Linked DNA regions of Oryzias latipes. The protein of the gene in region 6 interacts with the protein of the main gene of each other region in a pairwise test. Links are inferred from orthologs where the notes say so. Each region holds a gene or a part of one and is shown on either strand. Other genes may lie near its edges. The genes, in order: casr; fatty acid-binding protein, liver-type; hspb7; pelo; thrombospondin type-1 domain-containing protein 4; filamin-A; refilin-A.

What was found.
Region 1: the proteins of filamin-A (region 6) and casr interact in a two-hybrid assay, tested with the Homo sapiens proteins (2 studies listed by BioGRID). The link is inferred for Oryzias latipes from reciprocal best matches to the Homo sapiens genes FLNA and CASR.
Region 2: the proteins of filamin-A (region 6) and fatty acid-binding protein, liver-type interact in binary tests that used the Homo sapiens proteins (3 or more experiments, as listed by UniProt). The two-hybrid records come from large-scale screens. The link is inferred for Oryzias latipes from reciprocal best matches to the Homo sapiens genes FLNA and FABP1.
Region 3: the proteins of filamin-A (region 6) and hspb7 interact in binary tests that used the Homo sapiens proteins (3 or more experiments, as listed by UniProt). The two-hybrid records come from large-scale screens. The link is inferred for Oryzias latipes from reciprocal best matches to the Homo sapiens genes FLNA and HSPB7.
Region 4: the proteins of filamin-A (region 6) and pelo interact in binary tests that used the Homo sapiens proteins (3 or more experiments, as listed by UniProt). The link is inferred for Oryzias latipes from reciprocal best matches to the Homo sapiens genes FLNA and PELO.
Region 5: the proteins of filamin-A (region 6) and thrombospondin type-1 domain-containing protein 4 interact in binary tests that used the Homo sapiens proteins (3 or more experiments, as listed by UniProt). The link is inferred for Oryzias latipes from reciprocal best matches to the Homo sapiens genes FLNA and ADAMTSL4.
Region 7: the proteins of filamin-A (region 6) and refilin-A interact in a two-hybrid assay, tested with the Homo sapiens proteins (2 studies listed by BioGRID). The two-hybrid records come from large-scale screens. The link is inferred for Oryzias latipes from reciprocal best matches to the Homo sapiens genes FLNA and RFLNA.

The regions. Positions count from the first base shown.
Region 1 is NC_019872.2:14,170,866-14,173,794, forward strand, and holds the end of casr (extracellular calcium-sensing receptor), read right to left. Parts: intron 2,613-2,929; coding exon 1,284-2,612; 3' UTR 851-1,283; downstream 1-850. UniProt on the Homo sapiens protein: G-protein-coupled receptor that senses changes in the extracellular concentration of calcium ions and plays a key role in maintaining calcium homeostasis.
Region 2 is NC_019867.2:7,694,872-7,698,209, forward strand, and holds fatty acid-binding protein, liver-type, read left to right. Parts: upstream 1-1,494; 5' UTR 1,495-1,558; coding exon 1,559-1,625; intron 1,626-1,699; coding exon 1,700-1,872; intron 1,873-1,961; coding exon 1,962-2,054; intron 2,055-2,145; coding exon 2,146-2,196; 3' UTR 2,197-2,416; downstream 2,417-3,338. Other genes in the region: isotocin-neurophysin IT 1-like precursor, read left to right, coding at 236-378; histone-lysine N-methyltransferase SMYD1, read right to left, coding at 2,882-3,046, 3,166-3,334.
Region 3 is NC_019871.2:18,813,553-18,818,355, forward strand, and holds the start of hspb7 (heat shock protein beta-7), read left to right. Parts: upstream 1-1,499; 5' UTR 1,500-1,653; coding exon 1,654-1,864; intron 1,865-3,520; coding exon 3,521-3,681; intron 3,682-4,803.
Region 4 is NC_019877.2:7,512,448-7,517,150, forward strand, and holds the start of pelo (protein pelota homolog), read right to left. Parts: upstream 3,099-4,703; 5' UTR 2,698-3,098; coding exon 2,657-2,697; intron 2,363-2,656; coding exon 2,270-2,362; intron 1,182-2,269; coding exon 1,031-1,181; intron 707-1,030; coding exon 616-706; intron 347-615; coding exon 183-346; intron 1-182. Other genes in the region: serine/threonine-protein phosphatase alpha-2 isoform, read left to right, coding at 3,572-3,626, 4,597-4,703. UniProt on the Homo sapiens protein: Component of the Pelota-HBS1L complex, a complex that recognizes stalled ribosomes and triggers the No-Go Decay (NGD) pathway.
Region 5 is NC_019874.2:19,007,897-19,012,460, reverse strand, and holds the start of thrombospondin type-1 domain-containing protein 4, read right to left. Parts: upstream 3,060-4,564; 5' UTR 2,770-3,059; coding exon 2,747-2,769; intron 1,485-2,746; coding exon 1,421-1,484; intron 1-1,420. UniProt on the Homo sapiens protein: Positive regulation of apoptosis. May facilitate FBN1 microfibril biogenesis.
Region 6 is NC_019865.2:4,616,552-4,621,266, reverse strand, and holds the start of filamin-A, read right to left. Parts: upstream 3,202-4,715; 5' UTR 3,072-3,201; intron 1-3,071. UniProt on the Homo sapiens protein: Promotes orthogonal branching of actin filaments and links actin filaments to membrane glycoproteins. Anchors various transmembrane proteins to the actin cytoskeleton and serves as a scaffold for a wide range of cytoplasmic signaling proteins.
Region 7 is NC_019867.2:20,472,673-20,477,238, reverse strand, and holds the start of refilin-A, read left to right. Parts: upstream 1-1,304; 5' UTR 1,305-1,563; intron 1,564-1,680; 5' UTR 1,681-1,791; coding exon 1,792-2,022; intron 2,023-4,566. UniProt on the Homo sapiens protein: Involved in the regulation of the perinuclear actin network and nuclear shape through interaction with filamins. Plays an essential role in actin cytoskeleton formation in developing cartilaginous cells.

The DNA.
Region 1 (2,929 bases), on a different chromosome or scaffold from region 6:
AGTCTATAAGCCCTCCCCAGTAGATCCATCCATTCTCTAGAAATAGTTTAGGATTCACAGTTTAGCATTGCCGTTTTTCTCCATGCCTCCTACACAGTGATATACACAACTGTAAAGTGTAGGCTTGCTGTTAGATTGGCATTTATGTGTGAGGCCGGGTTGCTCTGTTTGCCTTTGTCAGATACTAGAGAAAAACAAGCAACAGATGGAAAATGCTTCTAGAAGAACACCAAACTCGCCCTTTAAAAATTGGTCATTGCTTTTTTTATATTACTACTGGACTGTGAGAAAGTTTACCTTAATTCAAGATAATTGGAATGTTCATATTTTTTACATTTACTACTTTTTACTTTTCTGTAAAAACCTCTTCAGAAACTCTGTTACTCTGCTCCTCAACTCTGGAACTCAGTCCCACCAGACATCTAAAACAATGGTTCCCTTCCTGTCTTTAAGTCAAATCTCTTCACCACACCTGCTTAAAACACAGTTTTTTTTAAATACGAATCTAACTAACATGATAATAATAATAATAATAATAATAATAATAATAATAATAATAATAATAATAATAGTTATTATTATTATTGTTGAAAACCGGTCGCAACACTTCAAACTGTGACAGAACAATAACCCAAGAAACAATTAGTTTGCTGTGATTATCTCTTGCTCTCTAATAATTGTTTCTGTGTGTACATTTAATATGTTTTTGCTTCACTTTACAAGACCACAGCTCAAAGTACAGCAAAACACTGTAAAGCTTAACCTTTCACTCAGAGGGGGAAAAAAGTGACTAAACTCAAAGATAAAATGTTTTAACAACATTAAAGGTATTTATTTATTTTTTAATAATCAGTATTTCAAGACTTTATATTTTAAAGGCAAATTATCAAAAAGAAACTTTTTTTTACCAACTACATAAATAGTTAAAGTTTATTATATTGAAAGAGTGAGTCAGATGAAAAATCTTCAATTGTGGATAACATTTACAAAATATGACATGATTTCAATAGATTTTGAGCTTCTTGCAAGTTGAGGCATCTTGACTGTTCTCTCCTTTGATATCCTAGAATTATGAACTAGTTTTGTGAGGCTGCTGGTATCTTTGTTCCTAATGATGCTCCTCTTGCAGATGCCTGTGCTGGGTTCCTTGTACAATTTTCTGAAGAGCTTGAGTTTCATCGGAGCAAATGTATTGTCCATTCTCTACGTACACACACACATTTGCACTGATTTGCCAAGACTGAATGAACGTAGCCCAAGTCTGACAAAAACACGTCTTTGTTTTACAACATAGAACTTCTTCTGGATTCCTCAAAGCTCAAGGACAGCATGACAGTTCCACTACCAAAGCTCACCCGTGGCCTATTCATGTCTAAATTTGAGTCCTCATTAGTTTTGAAGCTCATTGTCAAAGATGGCGTTGAACCTGATGATCCAGACTTTCTCCTTGAAGATGTGTTATGCTTAAGTGTCGCTTTGGCTGCCACCTTAAAGGCGTGTGCTGCTGTGCTGCAGCGGACTTCCTCTATGGTGTTCCTTGAGGGTTTAAACAGGATGATATAGACCTTGTTGAAGAAGATGCAAGCCAGCATCCCAAAGCTGGATGCCAGAATAGCAATAACCTCCACGGCAGAAACAAACTTTCCATAGGTACTAAAGTATGCAGGGATAAAAGAGATCCAAACAATGAAGAATATGAGCATGCTAAAAGTGATGAACTTTGCTTCTGTGAAGTTTTCTGGTAGTTTGCGTGATTTAAAAGCAAAGAAAAAGCATATGGCTGCCAAAAGGCAGGTATATCCGATGAGAAATCCAAGACCCATCACAGAACCCTCATTGCATGTGATGAATATGATTTCATCAATGTCATGATTCCTATAGCTGGAGGGAGGGGCGTTGTAAAGCCACACCACACATATCATGACTTGCACAAATGTGCACAGAAACACAAGAAGAAACTGCAAGTTTAGTCCCCACCATTTACGGTGGAGACTTGTAGGAATCTTGGCCTCGAATACTAACAGAACTCTGTTGGTTTTCACAAGGATACATGAAATACAAAGCACAAAACTTATTCCAAAGGCTGGTTGGCGCAAACGGCATGTCCAGTTCTGTGGCTCTCCTATAAAAACTAGAGAGCTGGAGAAGCAGCAGATGAGTGAGAACAGAAGCACGTAGGACAGCTCTCGATTTGTAGCCTTTACAATTGGAGTGTTGCGAAATCTAACAAACACCCCCATTACAAAAGCTGTAAAAACAACACCAAGCACAGCAAATATGGTCAAAGCGATGCCAAATGGTTCAGTCCAGGAGAGAAACTCAATTTCCTTCAGGAAACAGAATGTGTGGTTGCCGTTGGACCATGAGTTATTTGGGCACTTGGTGCAAACACTGGAATCTGCATTAATTGAAAAAAAAAACAACATTTTTTTTTTAGAAAAATCTGAGTAGTGTGTGAAGCGGATTTGATTATTATTCATTTCAATACCTTTATGATTACTGTATTCTCCATCTGAACATTCTGTGCATTCAAAACAACATGTGGGCATGCTGTCGATGATCCCCTTCCTCGTGCCAGGTTCACAGTCCTCACTGCAATTAGAGAATGGCACCTGCAGGACATAGTAAGGACAGAAATATACTATCGATGTGAAAATGTTCTCCTGGGGCGGATTCAGTTTGAACAACAAGACCACTTTCATTTTGGCAATCCCTAGCAGGCTCTAAAGGAAACAAACTCAGTCTAGCAGGAAATCATCCTTAAAAATACACTCAGACTGGATTTTTGGGAGCTCTAGAATAAAATAACCAATGTGCAGTGTCATCTCAAGTTTAACATGAACAAAATCCCTTATAATGCTTGTGTAAGCCACAGTCACTAAGATGTATGCATCTGGATGGCTAAAAAACTTTCTTTCCTTGGTGGGAA
Region 2 (3,338 bases), on a different chromosome or scaffold from region 6:
CTCCTTTTTACTAATTTCTTTTGAATTCAAATTTTATTTTATTGTCTACTGTCTTTTTAAATCTCTGACCAGATACAACAGGCAGTAAAATGAGTGAGAAAGAAAAGATTCTGAACTTTACTTTGTCCTTTTGATCTAATGGGTTTATGAACCATAAATTGTGATAACAACAGCTTATAAAGATGCAATAAATTGTTTTTTTGTTGTTGTTTTTTTCGTGGAAACCTGATCATAGAGAGTTGCACCACAGACCAGTCCTGCTTTATGGAGGAGAACGGAGACGACCAAAGCAGCCCGCTGGAGGTCAGCGACCCTGCTGACATCCTCCTCAGGCTCCTCCATCTGGCCGGCCACACTTCTCATCGAATCCACCAATGAGCTGCTCCCAACAGTCCCGTGGCAACAAATCGGCCCTTCTGTATAGTCGTGTTTAATTTTTTTTTTGGTCCATCATCAACTTTGATCTTGGAGTGCTTCTATAGGGTGCATTGATTGATATTTTTTATGTATAAAACTAGGGATGAACACAGAGAGATCATCCAGAAATCTGCATGCTGAAATAAAGTTTGGACACAATAACAAACTCTGTCTTGCTTTACTTTAAACTTGTTTCCTTTTCACTGTAATTACAAGGTTAACATTAGCCATATCAGAGATAATAGATGATTATTTTTCCTGCTTCTCCTTTAGACTCTCGTGCGGTGTGTGCCGTCATCTCACCTTCACTCTAAGAACATTGCTATTGCAAAATTCAGAGTGATTATCTAGTCACCTTTGACCAACACCAAACAGCTGCAGTTTATCCAGAGCAGGTAGAAAACTTCAGTGAAAATAATACCTCAATCAAGTGTTACACCAGTGCAAAGTAGATCTGTTCCTAATAAAATAACTTATTTAAATTTGGCATCATTTTACTGACGTTTCTATGGAATTGAAAGCTGCAGCACAAAAGTAACAAGCGTTTTAGCATGATTTACTTTCATATGAAGGCCTGCAAAGCGTTTTCTTTCTTGGTCATGTCTGGATGCAAACTTTAACTAATCCAGGTCAAACACAATATTTACCTATACAGGATAAAATATTCCAAATCATCTTTTCCCTTTCTATCCTACAGTATAGTGTAGTTTAAAAAAAGGCAAAAAGAGCAACAACAACAACAGCAAAAAACAATCGGTGGGACGATTTGAAAGAACTATCGAAAAACAATGTTAAAAGAAGAAACAGTAACCAAATGGACAATAGGCTATAAGGAAAGAGAAAGCTGAGAAAAAAAAATGTCACAAGGGTCACTCGTGTGTTTAGGTCCTTATTTGTACACATCAAAATATGATCAGATTTACTGCTTTCTCCTCTGAACTTTGGATTACCAAATTTGGTCTGTTAGCTCTGTGTGTTGTCCAGCTTCCTGTCGACTCTTATCTGTAGTGGTTGATTTCATGGTGAGCTCAGCTTATCAATGAAGCCCTAATTCCAGTCAGATTGTATAAATTATTAACCCCGTGGAGTATAAAAGTCTACAATTGCCAGCTGTTTGTCTACCTTCACTACAGCAGCCATTATGTCTTTCACTGGAAAGTACCAGCTCGAATCTTCGGAGAACTATGAAGCTTTCATGAAAGCTGTTGGTGAGCTACCATGTGGGATTAAAATGTGATGGTTTTTGCCTTTTATGCATTTAACTAAAAGTTTTCTGCCACAGGGATTTCTGATGAGAACATCCAGCTAACTAAAGGCTTAAAAAGCATCACTGAGATGGAGGAAAATGGCGACAACTTCAGAGTGACGGTCACCACAGGATCACATGTCATAATCAACAGCTTCACCATTGGGCAAGAAACTGAGATGCTGTCTGTCACTGGAGAGAAAATCAAGGTAAGCAAAAATGTTTTACTCATTAAACATGGCAATGCTTTATGATAAAAAAAAGATTTAAACATCAAGTTCTGTTGTTTGATTTGAAGACAGTGGTGAAGAAGGAGGGCACAAAGCTTATGATGAGTCTGAAAAGAGCGGACATTGTCACAGAGCTGGTGGATGGAAACACTTTAGTGACGGTAAAAATGCAAATGGACTTTGAGTAAAAATTGCTAAATCGAAATAAAATTTAAAAAGTATAATATACCGGTACTTGTGTTTTCTTTGCAGACAATGACTCTTGGCGACATTGTTTACAAGACGACATACAAACGGATTTAGTTCAACTGCAGTTGGGTCATACTTGAAGCAGTTTCTGTCAAAAAAAAGGTTGTTTTGGATGACATTAATGACTAAAATCAAAAATTCCTCCAGTCTTAAAATTAGCTCAATTCTGGGCATGGAAGAATCTCCACTTTACATTCCTCACAGTTCTGCTGTATTCATTTGCCAAAAGATCTGTCATGTGGAAATGTCAAAAATAAAATCAACTACAGACATTTCTGAGCGTTTTTTTTTTTTTTTACAAAACTTGCAATCTACACTTTGCTCATTTTTAATTTCTTGTATTTATCCTCTTCACATCACATTTTGGGTTATATTAGTGGCTAATTCTGCTTAACTGGGGCCCTGTTACTATCTTCAGAGGTTAAACAACAATTTTGTTATAAAACGCCTTTGTACCTATTGTACATAATGATATTTTTTATATTATATTTTGTTCGTAGATCACAATAAATTTGCGATTTATTGTGCAGGCCTGGTTCGGTGTAATTTAGGGTTAATTAGATGGGCTGAAAACCACGACACTTTACCAGGACAGTTTATTTTTTAATAAAAGTGTAACTACAAAACATGATACAGAAAATGGCTGTGTCACTTAAATGTAAAGACTGTCATTTCCACACTCAGAAACGCTCAAGTGTTCACATTACACAAGCTCTCCGGACTCTAGCTGCATAAGGAGTTACTTCCTCCGGTGGAAGAGATTCTTGATTCCTTCTTCCACAGACTTGGGTTCATGCAACATGGTCATGGGCTTGTTTTTCAGGGCGGCTTCTCTCATGCTGTGGTAAACGTACTCGTTCTGTTTGAACATCCTCAGTTCCATCTCTGTCTGCACACGCATTGCCTGCACATACAAACAAATTCAGGTTTTTCCATAGTGCTATAGCTGTGATCCAAAGTATGCAAGTTGATTCATTCAGACAGACAAAATGTAATATTCCTCATGTAAAATTAGATGTTTACCTCAAGGTCCTTGGTGATGGGGTGTGTTGGACCATGTGTGACCATGAGGATAGCATAAGCCTTGCAAACCATGCCATGTGCAACTTCTATATCCCCAGCCTGCCAGTGAATCACCCCAGCTCGCATGGCGGCCATACCGAGAGTGGCATTGTTTGGGGGATACAACTTCCTGC
Region 3 (4,803 bases), on a different chromosome or scaffold from region 6:
TGTGTACTTCTTGTTTGGAACGCGAGGGAGGAGGGATCACTTAGTCCAGCTCTCACATACAGACAATGCTAAAGTAAAAGTTTTGATACACAACTGAGGCTGATTTGACAATTACCAATTACCCAGTGATGCTCAAAGATGCCAAATGGAGCTTCCCTGATGTTTCTGAGTATTTTCTTGCCTCATTAACACCATCAGCTTTGCATTCAGATGTGGACACCTTCTCCAGAACTGCCATCTGTTAATCATCCAGAGGGAGACTCTGCATGGACTCCAGGGATCATGGTGAGCCACGAGAGAAAAAGCCTTTCCCAGCATCTGTGGTGTAAAGCTGACGGTGAAAACTGCTGAAGAAGACATCTGAGTCTCTGTGGTTCCACTTTTCCTCCAAAGTGAAACATGCTTCTAAGCTTCCTGAGGTTTAATTGGAGCTTTCTGCCTAAGAACCGGGCCAGCTGTTGAACACAAATTAACTCTGTCAAATCAATAAACACAGCTTGACACAAAAAGTGTTTGGAGTTTGATCTTAGATGTGAGGAGCCTCTGCTGTGAATGATGCTGGCAAACTGAAATATTGCTGAATGTCATGTTTCACCTCATACACGAAACCACAGGACTCTGATCTCTTTACTGTTGCTTTGTGACACTGTTTGTAGATGTCTCAACAATCATAACAAAAAATCATTACTGCAATCGTCATAACTCTCATCACAACTATCGTCACTACTGTCTTGTCTGCCTTTCCTGCTTTGTCCAGTGTGCGTTATGGGGTTGCTAGAACTTATTCAAACCACTACAGGCAAGGACACTATGAACAGTTTACCAGACTACTGAGAGGTGGGTGGACACACACACATACTGGTTTTCATGCACTTTTACACAGAAACCTCAAACACACCTTGAAATTCTATTACAAACAGATATATGCAAACAAAAACACACATGCACGCACACATATAGACACAGAAACATATACTACACGTACACTCACACACATGCGCACGCACACACACACGTATACATACACTAACACACACATTTGATTTGAACCTTTTCTCTAGGGAGAGAGTGTTAACTACTACACCACTGTGCTGCCTCCTGAAAACAACCAAAATCATCCAAAAAAATTCAGCCAGAGGATGAATAAAATATATTTTATCAAATATTCACATTTTAATCATGTGAAGTGATCAGTTGATCAAAAAAAAAAGCACTTTGTCTGCATTGCTGGTGACGTTTCAGTTTGGGTGCATGGTCAGGATGACCTGACTGTTGAAGCACTTTTCTATTTCTGTCTGCATCTGTGCACCCCCCTCTATGTTATCTGTAGTGTGTATTTGTGTGTGAGTGTGAATAAGAAGTCTCCACTTACTATCAGTTTGTCCGTTACACTCTTGGCTCTTGTCGTTGGAAAAACAACCATCTAAGGCTAAAAGTATCTTGAGACCCAGAATGGTTCATGCTAAACCCCAGGCTGAAGAATGTGCAGGAATGCATAAAAGCAGCCAGGATGGCAGGAAGAGGTCCAGCCGTAGTCATAATCAGTGTCCTCCAAAGCTCCTTCTCTGTATTTAGAGTCGACTGGGAAAAATCCTGCTACACTTTTTCATCATCACACAAGTTTTATGAGTAAAACGTTTCTGCGATTCAGTTATGTCGTCTGTGTCCTCCTCTTACCGCTCCTCATCTCGCTACAGCACCTCCAGCACCTATCGATCAAGGGGATCACTGAGCGGATCCACAGATTCCCTCGATGTTCTGTTGGAGCCCTTCCTTGATTCTTCTAACTGTTCCAGCTTGTTTGGAGATGACAGCAGCCTGAGCCCCTTGAGCAGGAACAGAAGTTCATCCAGTGAGCATTCAGGTGAGGGAATCATCTAGTTTTACCATTAAGCAGGCTTAAAGTTACTAAAACATCATTGTCATCATTAGTATGTCATGTTTTGCATTTGTGCTAATGAGGACCAGAGAGCAGGTTCCCATTACACCTATTTTATTGCGTTGGTTCTCTGTTTGGTTCAGGGTTGATCTTGAGGTCCCAGTACTGGTTTTAAGTGTTTTGTGGGTCACATTCCTTCTTACAAACTCTCAAATCTTCCAGCAATGGCCTTTTAACTGTTCCTACAGTAAAATCAAAAACCCACAGTGAGGTTTTTTCACCGTAGGTTGTAAAGATGTGCTTCTGCTCTAATAACCTTCCGAGATTTTGAAGATGAGGCCAATTATTAGCTGTCCATGGCTAATTTTATGTTGTATTTTTTAACAATTCTTTTATTCCCACATCATAAGATTTCCTTTCATTTATTCTGATTGTAGTTATTTTGTAATTTACGTCTTGTGTTTTCTGTTTTTACTTTTCAATTCCAACCAAATTCTAGTTTTAGAGAGCAAATGTTTGATTCCAGTTTTCTTATGACAGGTTGTCACTAATGATGGACAGTTTTCACAGTGAGCCGTAGAGGCTCGCTGCTCATGAGACTGCTGATTCTGATGGTTCTCCTTATTAGCCACTCCTTCAAGGTTTTCCATGTCTCCTGGACTGTGTTATATTGAGAGTCAGGAAGTAAATTGTTTGGGGGTTTACATGTAATGGGTGGAAGATGTGTGGTTACTTTTTAAGAAGTAAAACACTTTGTAATGAATTTAGCTGTATGAATAAAGTTTTGATTGATTGATGTTGATCAGTGCACTCCTGAAAATTGGTCCACAAGCACAGTTTAAAGACAGCACAAACATTTAATAAACAACACAAAAACTTTAAAAATATTTAAAACTCAAGTTAAAATGAAGATGTAAAGTATGAATGTAATGTATTTTATTTAAAGAAAAAAAAATCTTTTACATTGTGCATATTTCAATCAGTCAACTACTTAGCACTTTTCATCTACAAGCTGTTGAGCACAAGGTGCTTGACAGAGGAATATATGTTATTAGTTAAAACAGTAAAAAGTCATAAGACACAATCGATTAAAAGGAACAACATTTAAAGCAAACATAAAAAAGAAAGACAATGAAATGGCTAAAATGTGACGTATTTGACCATAAAGCTTAGTTTAGCATACCACATGTATGTCACACATATGTTCATCAAAGAGATATTAGTGCAAAATTCCAATTCACATGTGGAATAATCACAACAATAATTCTCCTCAGCAGATATGAATAGTAAACTCCCTTGTTCTATCCTAGGCACTTTAACATTGGGAGTTGGGTCATCTAGACCCACTACACAGTGCGCTGAACCTTTTTTCTTCAATGCTTTGAGATCTTCACTGGTGTCCATGGATTACATGAAATCTTTCCACCTTTATCCACCTTTGTCATGGTAGGGAGAACACGTCGATGTAAGGGTCATCCAAGATGGCACAAGGGTTTACATGGATACATGTTTTTTTGTTTTTGTTTTTTTTTACTTCATCTTCTTGTTTTGATGACAGTTTAGGGTTTTCTTAAGCAAGGTTTTTCTACTTTCCATATTCTGGAGCTGACATCCTTCAGTTGTTCTTTTTTGTCTCCACAGCTTCTGCAGGTGGAACTGTGGCAGGACTGCAGACTGGAGCAAGTAGCGGGGTGCGATGTGTTGGTGATACTTACTACATTTCTGCTGATGTCAGCCAGTTTGAGCCACAGGATATTGTAATTATGGCCTACAATCAAAAAATCGTCATTCAAGCCCAAAAGGTGAGTGACGGAAGGAACCCAGGCTGGTTCCATTTCCTGTTCAGGTATACAAAATCTGATTACTTTCTTTCTTTAGGACTAAGTCTTCTTTTGGTTGTTTTCTTTGAAGCTGATTATCCAAATGAGACAAAGACCTTAAGTATCAGATGAATGTAACCTCTGTTTGTCAAGATGTATGTGTATTTATGAGCCTTTTTCATATTGTCCATGTCCATCTCAAAAGAAACAGTAATGGTGCAGACCATCGCACCTTTTTCAGATATAATTTTTGTCTTTCGAAAGAAAACAGGTTATCTTATTTCAGCTATCAGGATTTAAACTAAGATACCATGTTTAATTCTGCAATTCAGTTCTGTCTTTTATATATATATATATATATATATATATATATATATATATATATATATATATATATATATATATATATATGGTAAATGGTAAATGGCGTATACTTATATAGCTCCTTTCTTCCTACAAGGACAAAGCGCTTTACAGTCACAGACCCATTCACCCAGTCACACACACATTCTCACACTGGTGGCGGCTCCGCTGCCAAACACAGGCGCCCGCCTACCACCAGTATATATATATATATATATATATATATATATATATATATATATATATATATATATATATATATATATATATACTGTATATATGTAAAGTGCCTTGTAAAGTGCAGATAAAGTCCATTTTTTTTAGCTTTTTCAGTTTGACTTTTTATGATCAGTAATGCCAATATAATGATTATTCCAGTTTTATGTGTACCAATGTGTAGCCTGCTGTCCGCTTGAAATCCAAACCTGCCCTTAACCTGTTTCATGTTTGACGGTAAGACGTTATATCAGCAGCTGTAAAGAGGGTCAAGTTTGACAAAAGACAAAAAACAGAACAGTTTTTTAAGGGCTGGAACTATAAAACAGGATCTTCAGATTATTTTTCCTTCCTGCTTTTATCTATTTCTTAGATGTTTTCCCCATTACTGGTTCAGTGATGCTCCCTTTCTTTCACTGGCTCTCATCTCTGTTTTCATCTTCATCCCTACCTCCGACTTGTTGTTCTTCTCACATTTACTTCCTATTCTCCTGAGATCTCTGGCCTTTCTTTTTATTACGTTTT
Region 4 (4,703 bases), on a different chromosome or scaffold from region 6:
AGGCTGTATTATCTGGCTGGGATTCATTGTTGTTTAATGGGAAGTGCTGATGTGTTGTTCCTGGTTACTGTCAGTCAGTCATAAGTTTGCTCATATTCATCACAATATGATCCACTACGATTTCTGTGAAAGGGCTATTAAAAAATAAAAAATGAACTGGAAGACTTCCTGATTGAATGAACCTTTTCATGCTGGCTGCAGCTCCCTTTCCTCTTGCGCGGAATGGTGACCTCGACTTTGGCGCGGAGCAGGGTCATGGCGGAGGTCACCAGCACAATGTTCGCCAGACCCTCCTGCATCACCACTGCAGCCACATCTGCCTTCTGAGACGGATCACACGCTTGTTCTAAAGCAAAAAGGAAAAACGCTTCATTATTAAAAGTAGAATAAAAGTGAGTTAAACCATTTTTTCAAATGTATAGAAACATTTGTTGGATTTTTAACTACCGGTACTTATTCCATGCTGATCAATGCAGGAATTTTTTTAAAGTTCATCAACATTTGTACAACTTTTTTTCTGCTATGGAAATATCCTGAAAGAATATGTCTTTACAGATATGATTACCAATGCTCATCAAATTCTGTTTGTTCTCATCTACAGTAACAGCTGCTCACCGATTCTATCCAGCACAACGCTGTCCCAGCTCTTCTTAGCGAGAGTAAACTTCCTGTTGAGTTCGAGCTCAATGGTGTGATAAGCTCCCATCTATTAAAAAAAAAAGAATAAAATATTACCACTTTCTATCTGGAAAATTATCTCAGGCCTGGAGGTTTAACATCATAATTCAACTTTTAATTTTCTAAATAAGAACAAATATTGATCAATTTAAAAACACTTGAGAGTTTGTTCTACCATAATTGATGTGTAGTTTACGATTAAATAAGGCCTAATTGTTGACTTCAGTTAAATCTTGATACAGTCATAGCAAGTACAAAATGAAAGATGCGACTAAGAACAGAAAAAGATACACAAATCTAACTGCAAAGAAAATCTAAAATGTTAAACCAATGTCGATCTGAATTCTCAGACCTTAACAAACTGATTCTCTTCAAGGTTGGTGCCTTTCACCCTCAGCCGACAAGCCTGTGTGTCAAAGTCGATGGTCTCCACGCACAACGTCAGAGTGGTCCGAACCCGAGAGCTGCCCACGCTTCCAGTAGCAGACTCTGTCTGCACCTTTCTGCGAGTACATGGGACAGAACATTAGTTCCATTTAGCATTTGCACTCTTTTTCTTAAAACCGGCAGCGATGAAAATTGTGTTTTTGGTGTTTTTACCTTGTTCTTGCGGCATTTATAATTATGATGGAGGACATGTATAAAGAGAAGTACCGTAAGCTCAAAATTGCATTTCTGAGTCTGTCTTTATTCAAATAATCGTGAATGATAAACAAATGTTTAAAAATAGGGCTTTTTTTTGGGCGGGCCACAAGCTTCCTGCTCTGCTCCATTCTAATGCATTCACTTTTAGATGAATAGATCCATGTAGGTCTTTGTTTTCCTTTGTCTGAGCTGCCATTTGGCTCAAAACTGTATAGCTGGATAGCTCCAATATTGTTCCCCATTTTTGTTGCATCCATAATGTTATGTTTGGGTTTAAGTGCATAAACAAAGAGCTCTCAGCAACAGAGAGGGGAAGGGGGGTTGGGTTGACCCACCAACAACTTAGAGGAGAATTTCTAGTAAACTACGGTATTGTACTGCCCCTCTGGAGAAACTATGTCCTAGAAAACAACATCTCTTATATATAAATATTTTGGCTAAAAATGGCATCATCATAATCAATAGACTAGCGGGAACGTTTTTTAAATAGTTCAAAAATGATAGGTCTTAGATAGATTGGACCTAAATGAAAAATTCACTGAAACCTGTCATTCATTCATTCATCTTCTAAGCCCGTTTGTCCTTTTCGGGGTCGCGGGGCTGCCAGAGTCTATCCCGGCCACACGTGGGTGGGGGCAGGGGACATCCTGGACAGGTGGCCAGTCTGTTGCAGGGCCACAAATCCAACACCCATGCACACTCACATTCACACCTAGGGACAATTTACAGTCACCAATTAACCTATGAAATATGTTTTTGGATGGTGGGGGAAAAGACGAGCTACGCATGCCCGGGGAGAACTTGCCAGAAAGGTCCCTCATTGGTGTTCTGGTTCAGGTCCCCCAGCCGGGACTCGGACCGGGGGTCTTCTTGCTGTGAGGCAAGAGAGCGCTAACCACCGCGCAGCCCCACAGGATTTTAGTTGATAGGGCTAAAGAAAAGTCACCTGATGGTTGAAGCTCTGAGGCTGTCCCCCACTTGGAGAAGGTTGTAAGTGTGCCACATATCCTCTGCCTCTTCAGGAACCAGAGTCACCTGACTGAGAAAGCATTTCCTCATATAAAATATTCTACACATTAAAGCTGGTTCACAAATATTATAACAGTTAAGCCTTATTGTTTTGAGCAGTCAGCTACAATTTCTTTGGTGGAACGGTACAGATATATTAAAACATGGAATATCATATTATTATATTGTGCTCTATGTAAACAAAGAATTGTAGTATTGTCCACGTTTCCTGCGTACAACAAAACTATTGTGTTTATTTATTATCAAACTACAAAACAGTATGATGGTAGCTAGCTAGCACTACTAGCTATAAGCATTCACTCACCCGGCATTATCTTTCTCAATATCTTTTTGGAGCAACTTCATGGTAGAAAGGTCTTTAAAATACAAAATGAATATTAGTGTGAAAGTGAAAAACTTGTATTAAGCCAAGCTCGATACATGTTTTGTTTTTTAAGGTAAACAAGCTAAACTAAGCCATGTCAGAACTTTAGAATGAATCGCTCCTGTTGAGAGCCAATGCGTGCTTGCGTCACGCCAACAAACGTCATCAGCTCTTCCCATCAAAGTCACTTCCGTGGGTGTTGCTTCACTGCGCAACAAAAACGAAGCTGACCAAAGTCAAACATTTCTGGATGGGTGCACACAAATAGTTTATTATTTGATTGTTTTAAGAAAGATATTATTTTATTTATATGTCTAAACTTTGATAATATCAGGAAACGACTGTCCTCCTTACGCTGCGGGGTTTTTTTTTTTGAGAAAAGTTAATACTGACGGACATTCAAAATAGCCAATCAGAAGCAAGATTGAATGAAAAGTCCCGCCCATGTTGGAAAGTGGACCAATGGCAACGCGAAAACAGACAGGCCACTTCCGTTCAACCTTTCTTTGAGCTAACGATCTTCTGTTCTTTTTTTGGTCGATGGCATGGTGTTAGTAGATACGAAAGAAACAGCGACGTAACGAGGAAATACTGATATCAAACAATTCAAAAATCTTGTCCTGAAATATAGATAGGTTTTTTGCTGTGCAGCACATGTCATCCATCATATTTTTAACAAATCCGTTTCAATCCTCAAATTTTGAGGTTGTCGATCATTCCCCAAGGTTAGCTAGCTAGCGGGCTAACGACGATAGCCGATTAACGCAAAAGTAGTTAGGCTAACTAAATCGGTAAGCGACAGTACGCTTCGAATTTTTACTATTGGGAACAAACCCGACGAAAGAGGGGAATAGCATGGCAGAAGCCGACAAGCTGAATATCGACTCCATTATACAACGTCTGCTAGAAGGTAAGACATTTCTGGCGATATTTGTTCATTCGGTGCCATTTTAGCTAACAGAAGACAACGATAGCCACCGGTGCTAGGCTAGCAAGTTAATCATCTCCCGCGTCTTGCAAAATTGTCTCAGTCTAATTGTGGTATATTTAGAAAACAGTTCGACTTTTCCTTTGATATTCATTCTAATGGTGGAATCTTTTAAAATTAAAATTCAGGTTTATCTATATATGTGTTTTGGAAAAGAAAAATCCCAATATTTTGCTTGGCATTTTTACAACATTATTAAATTTAACATGGTCGCTTTTTTCTGTTTATTCGCTGTTTACCTTACTATAAACATTTTTTCATTTTGATTAGTATTAAAAATTGTACCAGTAAGCTTAGGCACATATTGTTGTTTGCAATTGTCTATATGATGTGTGTATTGATGTTATTATTCGCAGTGCTTTTTTATTACTATATTTATTGTATCATTACATTATGATTATTTCGGTATCTGTACTTGTTTTTGACGCCAATTTGGATGGGTGTTTGGTGAATCCCAAATATGTGCAAGAATCCTTGTAAATATGGTCAAGTCAGTTTGTCCACAAAACAAGTCTCTGTTTAGAGGTCAGTCTGAATAGTTCCCAAAAAAGCATTATTTATTCATAAAGTTAGACTTGAAAATAAGAACGTTTACACATAAAAGTAAGTAAATGAAACGAATTTACTTATTCTGTCTTCATCACTTTTTATTCTGTAATTATTATGTTTTGAATATTTCTAAAAGGTACAATATAAAATGGGTAATGATGTTATAAAATGTGACAGTAAAGATTCTGTTGTAACAGTATTTTGTTATACCTCTAAGAATTTGTTTTACCTTTGTACTAATAATTATGTATTAATTTTTTTTATTAAATTTATAATTTAATTGTTTACATTGTTTTTCAAATCAATTTTAACACTTGTCTCTTTTTTGTTTATTTCTGTACAGTGAAAGGGTCCAGACCTGGCAAAAATGTTCAGCTGACAGAAAATGAAATCCGTGGCCTCTGCCTCAAATCCCGGGAGATCTTCCTCAGCCAGCCAATCCTGCTGGAA
Region 5 (4,564 bases), on a different chromosome or scaffold from region 6:
GCCTCAGATATCAAGTTGTCCTAGTTATGGGCTGGAAAAGAACTCAGGAAAGGAATTAATATTTGATTAGAAAATTTGCTATTCAGTGTGCCAAAGGTAATCTATTATCATATATATGAATGTAGATTACTCAAAAAAGCTTAAGAATAGCATGCTATAGGCCCTTTAAATCAAGTTTGAAGCATTTGGATACAAATCCAAGACAAGTCTATAGTCCGAAAACTTCTAAAATAATATTCTATTGTCACAAATTGTTGTTAAACTACTTTAAACAACTTGTGGGGACACAATAACAGCCAGTGGTGTGCAAACGCTGTGTAAAGACAGTTTTCATTTATTTTTTCTGACATTGATGTCCTGGAGCTAAAAAAAAAAAGAGGAAAAAAAACAGATAAACTTTGTCCACTTGCTTATCTGTTTCTGCCTCAAGTTTCTGCAGGCGATACTGAAGTTCGAGTTTTTAAGTCCAAGTCCATGTCTCAGGTGGCATCTAACCTGCAGCTGCCACATAACTGGGAGCATTAATGAGCTGTGAGCAGTGACCCTGCAGCAACCACTGCTAACCTCTGCAGCCACCACTTTAACTTCTGCAGCACCACTGAGGTGCTATTTTGGTCTGCTCCTAAAACTTTTTACAAGATACTTATTGTATTCATAAATCTGGAGGTCCTTTGAACTTTGCCATAAACACACGCATCACAATTTATTAAAAAAAAAGGTGACTTTTAACATGAGCAGACACATAACTTTTCATTGGAAAAGAAGCTTTCACTACTGTTTTTGAGTGATGGATTAAATAATATGGCTTTAGATTAAATTTTAATTATTTTAACTATGATGGTATAATTTATATTTTGTTTTCCTGAGCAAAAAAGGCTTCTCAAACCCTCTTGCCTTTAAAAGGATTTAAGCGTCTCTACAATGAGATCCAGCAATGAATGATTACAGCGATTAAAAAAAGGTCAACTAGACTTTTACGTAGCATTACATCATTTGGCAAAGTCTTGTCTCTGCCACTCAACCAAAACAGAACCTGGTGATTGTCTCATGACAGCATATTTTAAGGTAAAAGAGTTTCTGCTGGTGTGTGCGCGACATTTTGGTGCCAGATAAGCCTTAAAATCACTTTATCTGTTGCTTCGACTTAAATAACACACCCTCCAGCAGTGCACGCCCCTTTGCATGATTTTGCCTTAATCCCTGTTTGAGCAATCAGTAACATTTACTGTCACCGGGTTAAATAGCTCATCAAAGCATGACAGTATTTGGTCTCCAGGAGAGGATAACGATAAGAAAAAGGTTATTTCTAACTTTCTCTGTTCTGGTCTCATGCTTTGGGACACACAGAAAGGGAGAGGGGGGGGTGTCAACCTGACTTTTCAGTCATGTGTTGACCTAACTGGATGATCTAATGACTCACCTTCCTCTTGGCAGCTTTGGTTGTGGAGGTTGTGACCTCCACAGAAGCCAACAGCACACAGAGCCTGGAGGGATGCAGAACAGAGGGGGAGAGAAGTGGCAGAATCACAGGATTAAAAATGACAGCAGCTGAATGGGGTTCTTTTTCTAAAGCACATCAGTACTCCATGACCTAAAAGTGCAGCTAGAAGCCATTCACGTTCACACATAAGACTCTCATTATTCTAAGCCTATGTGATCTGTCTCAAATATTTTCCTTCAATTTACATTATTTAGCTGAGGTATAGGAATGTTCCATTCACTAAATAACCTGTTTCACCTGAATGGAAAGGTGTTTGTCGGGAAAAGTGATGACAAATCTCACGATGACCTCGGGGTTCAAACGTCTCAATCAATCTGGGAAACTCTTGGAAGTGCTTACAAGCACTTGCGTGTTTTCCCTCTGCACACACCCGGAGGATGTGGTTTTAACACTAATATGCAATAACCACACACAGGCTTAATGAGCCAACATCGAAAACAATCTGGGGTAGGACGGTTTTCCTGCAGGGAGGTCAGGAATTGGGATAACTCTAAGAGAAAATTAAGTTTTTTCTTTTTCTGTAGAAGTGTCAAAAGCTCACTTGTTTGTGTGCGAATGTCGGATCTATTTAGAAAAATCTCACCCATACACAAACATTCTGAGACAAGTGCAGTGGAAACAAGTGGAATAACGTCCTGCAGTCTGCCAAGAAATTGCTCTGACCGTGCAAGTACAGCCGGGCTCGCTGGGATAAAGTTTGCAGCGCTCACCAAGAGAACCAAACCATCACCGCAATCTCCAGTCCGCAAGCCACATGTAGGCAGTGTAATTGGTTCGTTTTACCCAATGTGGTGCACCGCCGCGGTCTCTGGAAGCTTCCCCACGCTGCAATACACAATTACCCCCGAAAAACACAGAGAAAAGTCCCGGACAGCCCGACACAACAGAGCTGCTCAGGCCGAAATAACGACCCCCTACGCGGTTCCACGTTTCCACGGCCGCTACTGCAGAGTAAACTCACTGAGAGGACAGGGAGAGGGTGAGAGAAACCTTTAACTGACAAATACTTTCAGAAAAGTCCAATTTGAGTGGAAACACACAGTTTTTACTCAAAAATGCGCGCCTCTGGGTAAATTCCAACCATTTAACGCAGCGAGCGGCGCGCAACAAGTGAGCCTCGCGCGTAAAAGTTTCCCGCACCAACAAAACCACCGTAGAGACAGTCAGCACAAACACTCAAGGAAAGATGCAAATCCACATGCGGCGACAAGAATCAGTCAGCAGCTGGACGGGACCGACTTTTACCTGATCAGTGAACCGAGCTGCATGCTCCAAAATTCTCCTGCACACTGACACTCTCAGTGATGCTTTGGGTCCAAATCTGAGCTTCGTTCCAGCCTGAAAGACATGCGAGGACTGCTCCTGCTCTGTCACCGGGAGGAGTTCCGTGTGTTCCGTTCAGTCCACAACTTTTCACAGGTCCTTCCTTATTATAAACTCCCGTGACGCATGAAAACCAGGTGGGGGCACAAAGAGACGCAGGGAGAGGGGAGACACAAAATGGACAGATTATACAACTCTCGCTCGGGCTCCTTCTCACTCTCACATGCACAAATTATACACTCCCCCTCCTCTCCCTCACGCCTTCCTACCCTCTCTCTCTGTCATACTCACAAACTGTTGGTCCTGACTAAGCAATAATAATCCTCAGAGCCTCGTTTTAGTTGCACAATCGAGAAAGAAAAAATAACGTTTCCTTGTGCGTTTTCTCCCACACTGAATAATAATGAGCGCAGACGATCCTGAGCCTTCTTCAAGAAAGTTGGGAAGGGACTATCTCATGAGTCTGACACTCTGACAAGCTCAAATGATGTGGTTTACAGTTTGAATATGATTCATAGTCCCCCCCCCCCCCATTCTTGAAAAACAAGCAGATATTTTTACATGAGAAAAACATGCATTCTGTGCACTGTTTAATCCCATTGAAACACCAGAAACCAAACATGCTTCAGCAATTTGGTGTTTGGGATAAGTGCACCCAGGAGACAAGCCACTTCTGAGGCTGAAATGTGCCTCTCTGAGTGTGTATGATTACATATGTGTGTGTGTGAGGGCTGAAACAGATGTGAAAAACCATCTGATGCCATCTCATTTAAACATGATGAAATGACAATCCACACAGCCCTGCCCAGCCAGACACTTTACTAAAATGAGTAACTTAGGTCAAATGACCCTCAGGAGACATGGTGACACACACACACACACACACAGGAAAAAATTATAGGTTCTTTACAAGATTTCTCCAGCGGCACGTGTACAAGAAAGGGCTGGTGATTTCTAAACCAATAAAACGTAACTCAGTTTGAAGGAAAAGGCTCAGGATGCACACAAGCCTTTATGGAGTTTATACTGTTCACTCAAATCAGGACTGGCATCAATGTAATATTTGAAAGATGACATGTTTTAAGAAATTACTCCAAAATGCTTAATTTTATATTGAAGTCTCCTTAGTCTTTTAATCATGATTAGGCCGTTTTAGGCTGAATTTAAAAAAAAAAACACGTGTCATTTTCTAGGACATAGTTTCTGCAAAGCAGCAGGAATCATTCAGAAATTCACCTCTGAGTTGTGGGCGGCACTGTTGGTGCAGAGTAAGCCTGCCCTCCTTTCCCATCATCCCTTTGTTTACCCGCTGTGCTGCTAGCTTACAGCCCCTCAGGAATTGGTGGCGTAGGACCTAAATTGGAGGAGAGATCAGGTGTGGTGGCAGTAACCATAACATATAATAAATACACTGAAACATAACACACACAAAAAACATGGAGAAACAAAAGAGGGTGAAAAAGCAGAACAGTTTACCTAAAAACCAGGCACTTAAATGGACTGAGGGCAATTAACTGAAATGAAGACAACTGTGGATGGTGATTAAGCTGAAACTGGTCTGACTCAGAAAGGGCAACCAAGAACATGGCCAAAACATAATATCATTACTAAACCACAGAACCCTTACAGCACCCCTCCCCAAAATGGTAGATCCCAGATGCCCCCAACACCTGAGAAGAAGGGACCTGGAGGAAAAAAACAAGTCCAGAAAACTGTGATGATGCCAGCAGCTAAACAGAT
Region 6 (4,715 bases):
AAAGATTCAACCGTGTAAGAAAACGTCTCCCTCTGTTGGGGCTTTGTATTACAACTTCATTTAACACTTGAAAAGGGGCAGAAAATGTAAAATAAACAAAGCATTAATATCAGGGTTCAAATGGCTCCTTTGATAATACGAGGTAAAAATTTTAAGTTTAAAAAACAACAACAAAAAATCTTTATAACATGGCCTTCACAAGTTTATTAAGGTTAATGAACTGTTCCACATAGAACCAGAACCATAGGATGGGCTGCAGAACTGCAGGTGGTACGTGAGTTAAAATGTTTGTAAGACATAACCTTCATGAATCAAACAAGCATCAAACTTTGACTGAGTACAGTTTTCATGAGTTTAAAGGGTGAGTATGTGAAATAAAAGTTTCTCTTCCAGAGCTGCATCTTTTCTCAGCAGCTTCTCATCCTCTACATCTAAAGCGAGCAGTTCAAAAAAATAAAAAATAAGCACAGGAAGTTAAACAATGTGAGCAAAAACATTGCCAACCACATGGCACACAGTAGAGAGAGTCAGAGATTATGCGGTTTTCCTCCTCAGCCTCTCAAACTGGTGCCAAAGAGAGCAGAGCAAAGCAGAGCACGTCAACTGAGGACAGGTTTCCTCCTCAGACCTCCCTCTGCACGCTCTCCTATCAGCATCACGTCCCTCGCCATTTTTTCTGTTGTCATGGTAATGCCAAACCATAAAAGATGCAATGTCATAAAAAAGTCAGAGGTGTTTTAGAGACATCTAGCTCAACAAAAGTCATTGTGTTTCCCCTAATTCCTGAAAAAGGAATTCCACTTTGAAGTCATTCTATGACCTCAACCAAACATTCTTCTGACAATGAATCAAAAAACTGCTCCAGAACCAATATTTTCACCCGAGTACGGTTATTTATTGTCCCAGATGCTTTCAAATAGTGGTACACAGCAGCCAGTCTGATTTCAGTTAGAACGACCCAATCTGAACATTTGCTCGATTTGATGAACGTTGTGCCTTTAAAGTCTCATTCTGGTCAGCTTGTGATCTATTTTCAAAGTTTTCCCAGTGGTTTTTTAACTATGATTGTGCTGTTTTCACCCCAATTTTTTTTTAAATCTGTTGTTTTTTATGTCATAGTTTCTGCAGGGCGGCAGGTGTTGGTTTGAAATGTGCCTCTGAGTTATGGGGCGGGACCGTAAGACAGCCCTACCTTCTTATCATCCCTTTGTTTACATTCTCTCCTCCTATGGCTTACAGCCCCTCACTCCCACAACAGTGCAACAAAAATGGCGAGCAATATCTGAGCTATCCACCCGTACAGTTTCGAGCCAGATTCCAGCTCGGATGAGGAAAACCAAGACGTTATTGTATCTATTTTTTTTTTTATAAATGGATGCATCAGAATGGAGCGGAGCAGGGAGTTTGTGATCTGCCAACTGCATCACTGTTACGGTCTTTTACAAACAGCATTTTTCCCGTCTGCTCCGGATTCACGATTTGAGTAAAGAAATACTCAGAAATGCAAATTTGAGCAAAATTAGCTTTAAACGTGTCCTCCATTATCTAAAAACACAATTTTGGGTCTTTAACCATCCATAAAGTTCTCATTCATGAAATTTAGAAAATTCTCAAAACTCTGACCCAAAATATGATTTATTTGAAGGATATTTGCTACTTTTGAATTGTTTTCATATGTTTGTCTTTTAAGTTATCATGTATGGTCTTTTGTTTGAGGGCTCAAGCTATTTAATTGATGGTTTTATTACAATTGTTCTATGAACAGCAGCAGAAGAAAAAAGAAGTGAAATTCTCAGAAGTGTTGGAAAATTCCAGGAGCACAGTCAGATTTTTGGTCTTTTAGTTTCAAAGACTATAATCAAAAGTGGACACAGTCTGGCTTTCATTTAAAAAGGGCAGGTGAATTAAATTCAGTGAAAAAACAATCAAACAAATTCAAATCCAACACATTAAAAGCTTCGATCTCACTAAGCTTCATGAGGCATTAAACCCAGTTTGGATCCAAAGAGCAGCTTCGTGAAAAGAAGCTGAGCTGCAAACAGCTGAGGCTCTTCTGAGCCTTTCATTAACCAAAAATGCAAAAACGAAACTCCGTGCTGGATCCTAGATTCAGAGCAGCTCCACCTTCTTGTGAAGGAACGAATCCACCCACACCCCCCATCCAGCTGCTGTTTAACCAAGACTTAAAGGTTCAGTCGAGCTGTTTCGTAGATTTGAAGCATTCTTTTATGACCAGTTCAAACTGGTATTTAATTAAAAGCACTTGGCAACAGTTGAAAGAAAAAACACCGCAGATTTGAGTTGCATTCAACAGCGGTGAGGGGTCACTCAGAACCCAGGAGACCTCAGAATACCAAAATTCAAAATGTGAAAGTTTTAGACACGCATTACATATGGAGACATCCTTTAACAACTCTGCCCAGAGGTTATAAAGTTTATTAAAAAAAGACAGAGAAAAAACTCTTTCCAGAGGTTACCTTAAAATGTAGATATGTAAAATATTCCTATAGATGACCTTTGGGGGTCATTGTGGTCAAACAGTTTGGATCGGATTTAAGACGTTTATTTTAATTAATTTTAATACATTTTTAAGAATATGATTTGTTTAGCTTTAGTTGGAAAATATAAGCCAGTTTTTCCAAAACCAACTTAACATTATTTGTAACAAAAAAAAATACAGACGAAAAAAAAATATTATTTTAGTAGTTTGAATTCATTCCAAAGAAAATCTTTTAGTTTGTTCATTTCCACCTGGTCGCCGTCTCTCGTGCACCAGGTGGCCCCAGAGTTCTTGTTGCGCCTCGGGATCTGCTCCCAGCTCGCGCGCGTGTCCACCTCTGCCCCCACTAGTAAGAAAAGGCAGCATCACGAGCCCTCATCCCACCCCCCGAAGGATCTGTCTGTGTTTTCCCTTATTTGGAGCGGAGCCCCGAAACTGTGATGCCGCCTGCAGAGAGGCGCGAAAGTAGCGGAACATTTTGGCGTAAAAACTGAGGATCGTCAAGTTAGGTTCTACAGATCCTCCACCAGCAGAGCTGGCTGCAGCTGAACATCAGGGGCGCGAGACTCACCTGGTCGTGCCGTGTCGCGGGCGCGTGGGTCCGCTGTGGGTCTCAGCTGCTCCTCTGTGATCGCGCTCTCACAGGCGGAATGCGTAAGTGTGCGTGTGTTCCTCCAGTCCCGGACCGTCCTCCCCACGCGCACTCCCGGTGGGGGAAATGATGTTCTTGCTGCAGCGTAAAACTGAAGAAGGACCGGCCCCTGCGCGCACGGTCCCCCCGCCCCCGCTGCTCCTCTGTCGGGAGGGCCTTAATTGGTAAACGGGTGAAGCCTCAGGTTTTTTTTTTCTGTAGAGGAGACGTCATGACCGCGCCTGTGGGAATTTAAAAGTATGATGTCACCTGCCCCCCCCCCCCCTGGGGGTAACACCCCCCCCCCCCCAACCTCCTTTCGAGCGCTCATATGAACGCGCGCACAGCACAGACTGTTTCATCACTGCTGCTTTGACTCAACTTGGGGTTGGTTGGTGCGCGCGCGCGTCAATTCACGCGCACAAAGAGGTTCTGCGTGCATGCTCTCCAGCTGAGCATTGGCTCAGGAGACAAAAATGCGCGGCCATTGATGCCTTCATCAGTGGGGAGGGAGGAAGAGGAGCAGAGGTGCAGCCACGAAGAGGTCAGAGCCTGACTCAAAGTGTGATGGATTTAAACGATCCAGCCACATCAATGACATCATTCTGAAAGTCTGAGGTTTTTTCATCTGTGTTTGGATTAACAAGAGCCAGATGTTTGCCATTGTGAACCTCCTGTCGTTTGTTAGCAGTGAACACAGATATTTTTATAGATGACAGGAGACTTTAAATGTGTTGCAATTCTGCTTTTATTATTAGAAAACTTCATGAATGAACAGCTTCTTTGGCTCTGAGAGAAAGGTTCCGGTGGAGATTTTTTAGCACTTTAAAAGGATCAAGTTTTACTTGCGTTAGTTTTACTGTATTCTAAAATGAAATCCTAATTAATCAAACGTTTCAAATGAATCCAGATTGAATGTTTTGGTCCAGTTTGAGAGCATTTTTACATGTATTTATTCATCAGTTCAGTGTTTGCTCTCGATATGGATAAACAGGATTTTAAAGGAAGACAATTTTTTAAAATTTAAATTAAATTTTGAAATTGATGGATTTTTTTTCCTTTTGTGTACATAATTACAGAATTTCACGTTTTACATATTTTTTTGCACATTCTAATTTTTTCCTATACGCCCTCACCCTTGCTAACTGCCTCAACCCGACCCACCTCTACGCACGACCACCGCCCTCGCTGCCCTCGCTGCCCTCGTCTAAGCGTCACCGCCGCTTTCACCACCCACCTTTGACCCGACCTCACTTGCTGAACAGCCACTACGCACATCTAACTCCCCCCCGTCTCTTTCTGCAAGGCCGTCTGAACTGCATCCAACTGCAGGTGGCTAAAAGTGCCAGCATTATCAGCATCATTGACTGTCTCAAAAAATACATTGCTTATGATGCTAATAATGCTTATTATGGTAGTTATGCTAATGTGGCTGGGACAAGTTTTTGTTTGTATTTGGTACTAAAGGACCTTTTTTTTTTTTTAATTCAAGATATTGGCCTATACCCGAGGTCAAAGGTCAACAAAACTCCAGACTAACTTATTGACTTAAGTTAGCAGCATGTGTGTGAAATTTTGTGAAAA
Region 7 (4,566 bases), on a different chromosome or scaffold from region 6:
TTTATAAATTATAAATTAGATTCACAATATCAGATGAAATTTGAACATATCATATTTGGCCTACACGAAAAAAATATAAGATCAAACGTAAAATTGGCAATTAATCTAATTATAATATTTGGTAAATTTCATATTCATAAATCAAAGTTTTCTTCATCACAACTTTTTTTTCCTTTAATAATTAAAGAATTAGAATCTTATTTACATACTATTTCTAATAGTTTAAACAAAAAGGCCATACATATTTATGAAAACTGTCTGTCTCTGAATATTTTCATTGCATAGCATCTGCAATCTTTTTGTAATACATGTACCATCCCCTGACATTGTTGTTGTTATGACTATTGTTCCTGTCATACATATTTGATCCATTTGTGTTGAATAATAAAGTTCATTAAAAAAAAAATGAAAACAAACACCATGCCTCCTGATTACATCCCCAAGTGGCAGCATATGTAGATTAAAAAGTAGTGGGCCTAAAATTGAACCCTGGGGGACCCCACATTGATTTCAAAGACCTTTGGTGAGCATGTATCCATACTTGCATAACATCTTCGATCTGTGAGATAGGAGTAAAACCCCTTTAGTACAGTACCAGAGATGCCCAAACCTCTCAGACTGCTGAGTAAAATACTGTGATCTACAGTATCAAATGCTGTTCTCGTATCAAGTAGTACCAGGACTGAGAGTTTCTGACAGTCCAGGTTACATTTAATATCATTTACTATGTTAACAAGGGCCGTTTCTGTTCAGTAGTTAATCCTAAAATCACAACACAGACTGATACTTTTAAAAAGTCATTTAATTGGATTAAAACAGTTTTTTTCAATCATTTTACGTAAAAATGCTAAGTTAAATACTGGTCAATAATTGTGATGACCTTAATTACTCTTCTTCAGAAGAGGCTTCACCACTGCCGTTTTAATGGCAGCAGGAAAGACACCTGTCTGAAAAGAAGAATTTACTATGTTTAAGAGCTCAAACTCAAAGAAGTCATCAAATGTTTTTAACAGTGATGTGGGGATTGGATCTAAAAGGGAGAAATCTCAATAACCATTCTCGCCTGTTGGTCCCTGTCATCCTGACAGAACCAATAAAACAAATAAAAGACATAAACAATCAATAACTCCTTTTTAATTCTAAATTACAGAATCAGCCGCGCAGCAAAGCGCGTCTCAACGCAGGGTGCCAAACTTCACAGCTCAGCAGGAAATGTGGGATCTGTTCGCCCCTACCGGTGGCGCATGGAAGTAATCCAGATCATGAGGGCTGGACTCAATCCAGGTACAGAAAGAACGAAAAAAAAAGCCTGGCAGGATCATCAGGAGTGAGCTCTCTTCTGGAGAGCGCACGCAGACTCGTCTCAGTCATACGCGGGGACGCAAAGAAGAGGAGCTCTCATTCAGATCGCTACCACACGAACAGCCACTTTGTGTTTTGTTGTGTTTTTGGTTGTTTTTTTTAGAGTAAACAACACTTAAACCCGGGTTTTGGAGTGTGAAAAGAAAAGTGTATCAACGTGACGCACGATTGGAATATCTTTAATGATTAAAGGACGCGCAGGTACAGTACATTTTGAAGACAAAAACAGATTAGCCAACATCTCTCTGGATGGAGATCTGTTCTGTTCACAAGGAAACGACACTTTTTTTTTATTTCTGTTCCTTTGTGTACTTCCAGAAGTCGACAAAAAGTCAAAATTGTGTCTTTTCAAGCAACTTGGAGCACAACACGGAGGGGAAAGTGTGATTTTTGTTATTAGTTTTCCCCCTCATCTAATTCCTCCCAGAAATGGTGGGGCATTTGCACTTACAAGCGATGGATGATAGTCTAAAAGGAAAGAATCGAGAGGGGCTGCTCGACAGTCCGGATTCAGGGTTGCCCCCAAGTCCCAGCCCGCCCTTCTGCTCCCTCTCTGCGACTCTGCTGGAGTCGCGCTCCGGCAGCTGCACGACGCCCGTGGAAAGCCACCATGGATTTTACAAAAAGGAACGCCGAGAAGGCAAACTGGTAAGAGAACAGGTCTGTGTTCACTGCATTTTACTGTCTTAAAGTCTGGATTGGAATCATTTTAGATTCATTGACGCGCGCAGATCAGGTTGTTATTGAACAGTAAAGTAAAAACTGGAAACTTGCTGGGAGCATTTTTTTTGGTCAGTCTAGAACATCTGGAAGCTTTCTTTCCCCTGTCCCAGAATGAGATTCCTCAGTGGCATAATTGTGATCCTGCTTTCAGGCTGAGGATGTCACTGGCTCTCATTAAACTGCTGCACAAACCTGTTTGGTGTTTTCACTGCTGGGCATCAGGTGTGACCGTACCACACAGGTGCCCCCGAAGGTCAGATATTTTGAAGGTCCTGTCATGTCTGGGCTGCAGTCTCCTCTTTGATCTAGGAGTTTTGTGGACTTTTGGCAGTTTAATGTGAGAATAATCACTTTGTTTCCTCCTTGGACAGCTCAATTGACAGAGAATGGTAATGTTCTGTGACAAGGAGGCATGAGGCCCATCAACCCTGTCATGTGGGCTGAAATGATAATCCTACACATTTAATCTCAATAGTAGGCGCTCAGAAACTGCTTGTTTTAAACCAGTTTAAAATGATAACTGGTTCCAGGTAGAACCTACCCAACCTGTTTGGCATGATGCTTCTTCAAAAATTCTTAAAATTTCTTAAAAAAATCTCACCAATCTCTGACTGATAAGAAGTTGTACTTCTGTTTTCTGCTGTCAGACTTCTACCTCCACATGCATGGTGAGTGAACATCAGGAGGCTCGAAGCTGAAAGTGTGCACAGGCGCGCCTTCACCAATGACGGTCCATCGTCTCTGCTGCAACAGAGCCAGTCTAAGTCAGATATCATCCAAACCAGAAACATGCCAGTTGTTTACCCTCTGGTTATCACTGCAGCTTCCCTAATCTTCACAAAATTAACATTTTAACCAAAGTGCTGTGTTTCCATCAAACGCACTATCCACATGTATCTACAGGCAATGTACTTTGACCATTTTCCACTCTAACAAAGGCTTCATTGGCAATGTGGTACACGTTTTGGTCTCTTAAAGGTCAAAGAAGTTTTGAGTGTTTCAACCTGCGGTGACTTGTTTGCTGCACCAGACAGGGTTGGTTGAAGTGAAAGTCATTTCCCAGTTTTCAGGACTTTAAGATCACGGTTCTGCAAGTTCAGATTGACTTTAAGTTGTCAGAAGGAGGCTTCAACAATGCAGGGGTGCATGGTGCGGCTGCAATTAGTGAAACTGTCTGGTTTTTTGCTCCCAGGAATTCTAAATAAGCTGGCTTTTGGGTTTGTTTTTGTAAAAAAAAAGAAAAATAAAGAAAGAAAAACTCACGCTCTGTGTAACCCTTGTGCTATCTTAGATAGCCCCACCCTTACATTGACATGTTCTCCCTACCAAGACAAAGGTGGATAAAGGTGGAAAGATTTCATGTGATCCATGGACACCAGTGAAGATCACAAATCATTGAAGAAAAAAGGTTCAGCACACTGTCTAGTGGGTCTAGATGACCCAACTCCCAATGTTAAAGTGGCTAGGATAGCACAAGGCTTACGGGTGACTGAAGCCGTTGGAAATGATTGCATGCATCTTCAATATTTTGCAATTCAACAAACTGCTGTCAAAGGGGATTTAAATGTATGCAGGAAAAGCCAATTCTTTCTAAATGCATTATGAAGAAAGTTACAAGATCTACAAAATAGAGAATAAACAGCTCAAAGAAACTGATTAAGTGATAGTGGATCAGTCAGAGCACTATCTTTCAAGCCGTGTTTCATGAAATGATACAGATGCTCATCCATGCACATCAAAGAATGCAAAGTGTGAGGGGTTTGCCATCACAAACAGCCAGCAGCGGGAAAGCTGTGCTCATTTTTCCCTCAGTAGTCCTGCTTTGTTGCTCAGCTGGAGAACATTTCTTCTGGGCCAAACTGTGCTTCCAGGCAGGCTTATGCTTTATGTGCTTGTTGGTAGATTGGCTGCATGGAGGTAACTCACCCTCCATTCACAAGTGTTTGCTTTACAGATGCTGCCAGAGTCCTGCATGGAGAAATGTGCAGAATGCTCTGGAGCAACGAGGGCAAATAATCACACAGTGGTACAGTGTGTTCAGACCATGAGGAACCCTGGGACAGGAATCGAACGGCTTGCAGATATAGTTTACTCAGCTTTAACTGAAGCAAAACGCAGCAGCTGTGAGGATGCAGTAAGATGAGCTTCACACTGCGCCCTTGGCCTGCTCTTGCTCGGCTCCTCTGGTGGCATGTGCAGAGGGTGACAGCATGTGACAGCCTCCCCCCTGTGCAATGTGAGAGGTGCCAGGGTCGTGGTTGTGGTTCACAAACACACCTGCAGGAAAAACACAGCCAAATGTGAGATCTCTACTAAATCGTTTAAATATACTTGAAACACGCAATTCAACCCAAACTCTTTGAGGTGTGAAACTCTGCAGTTTAAAACGTGTTTTTTTTTAAAACAGAAAACAGAGCAGAGAGGGAATCTGAAGGTCCTTTTTGTTTGCTTCAACAGAAGCCACAAACATCATGAGAAGCT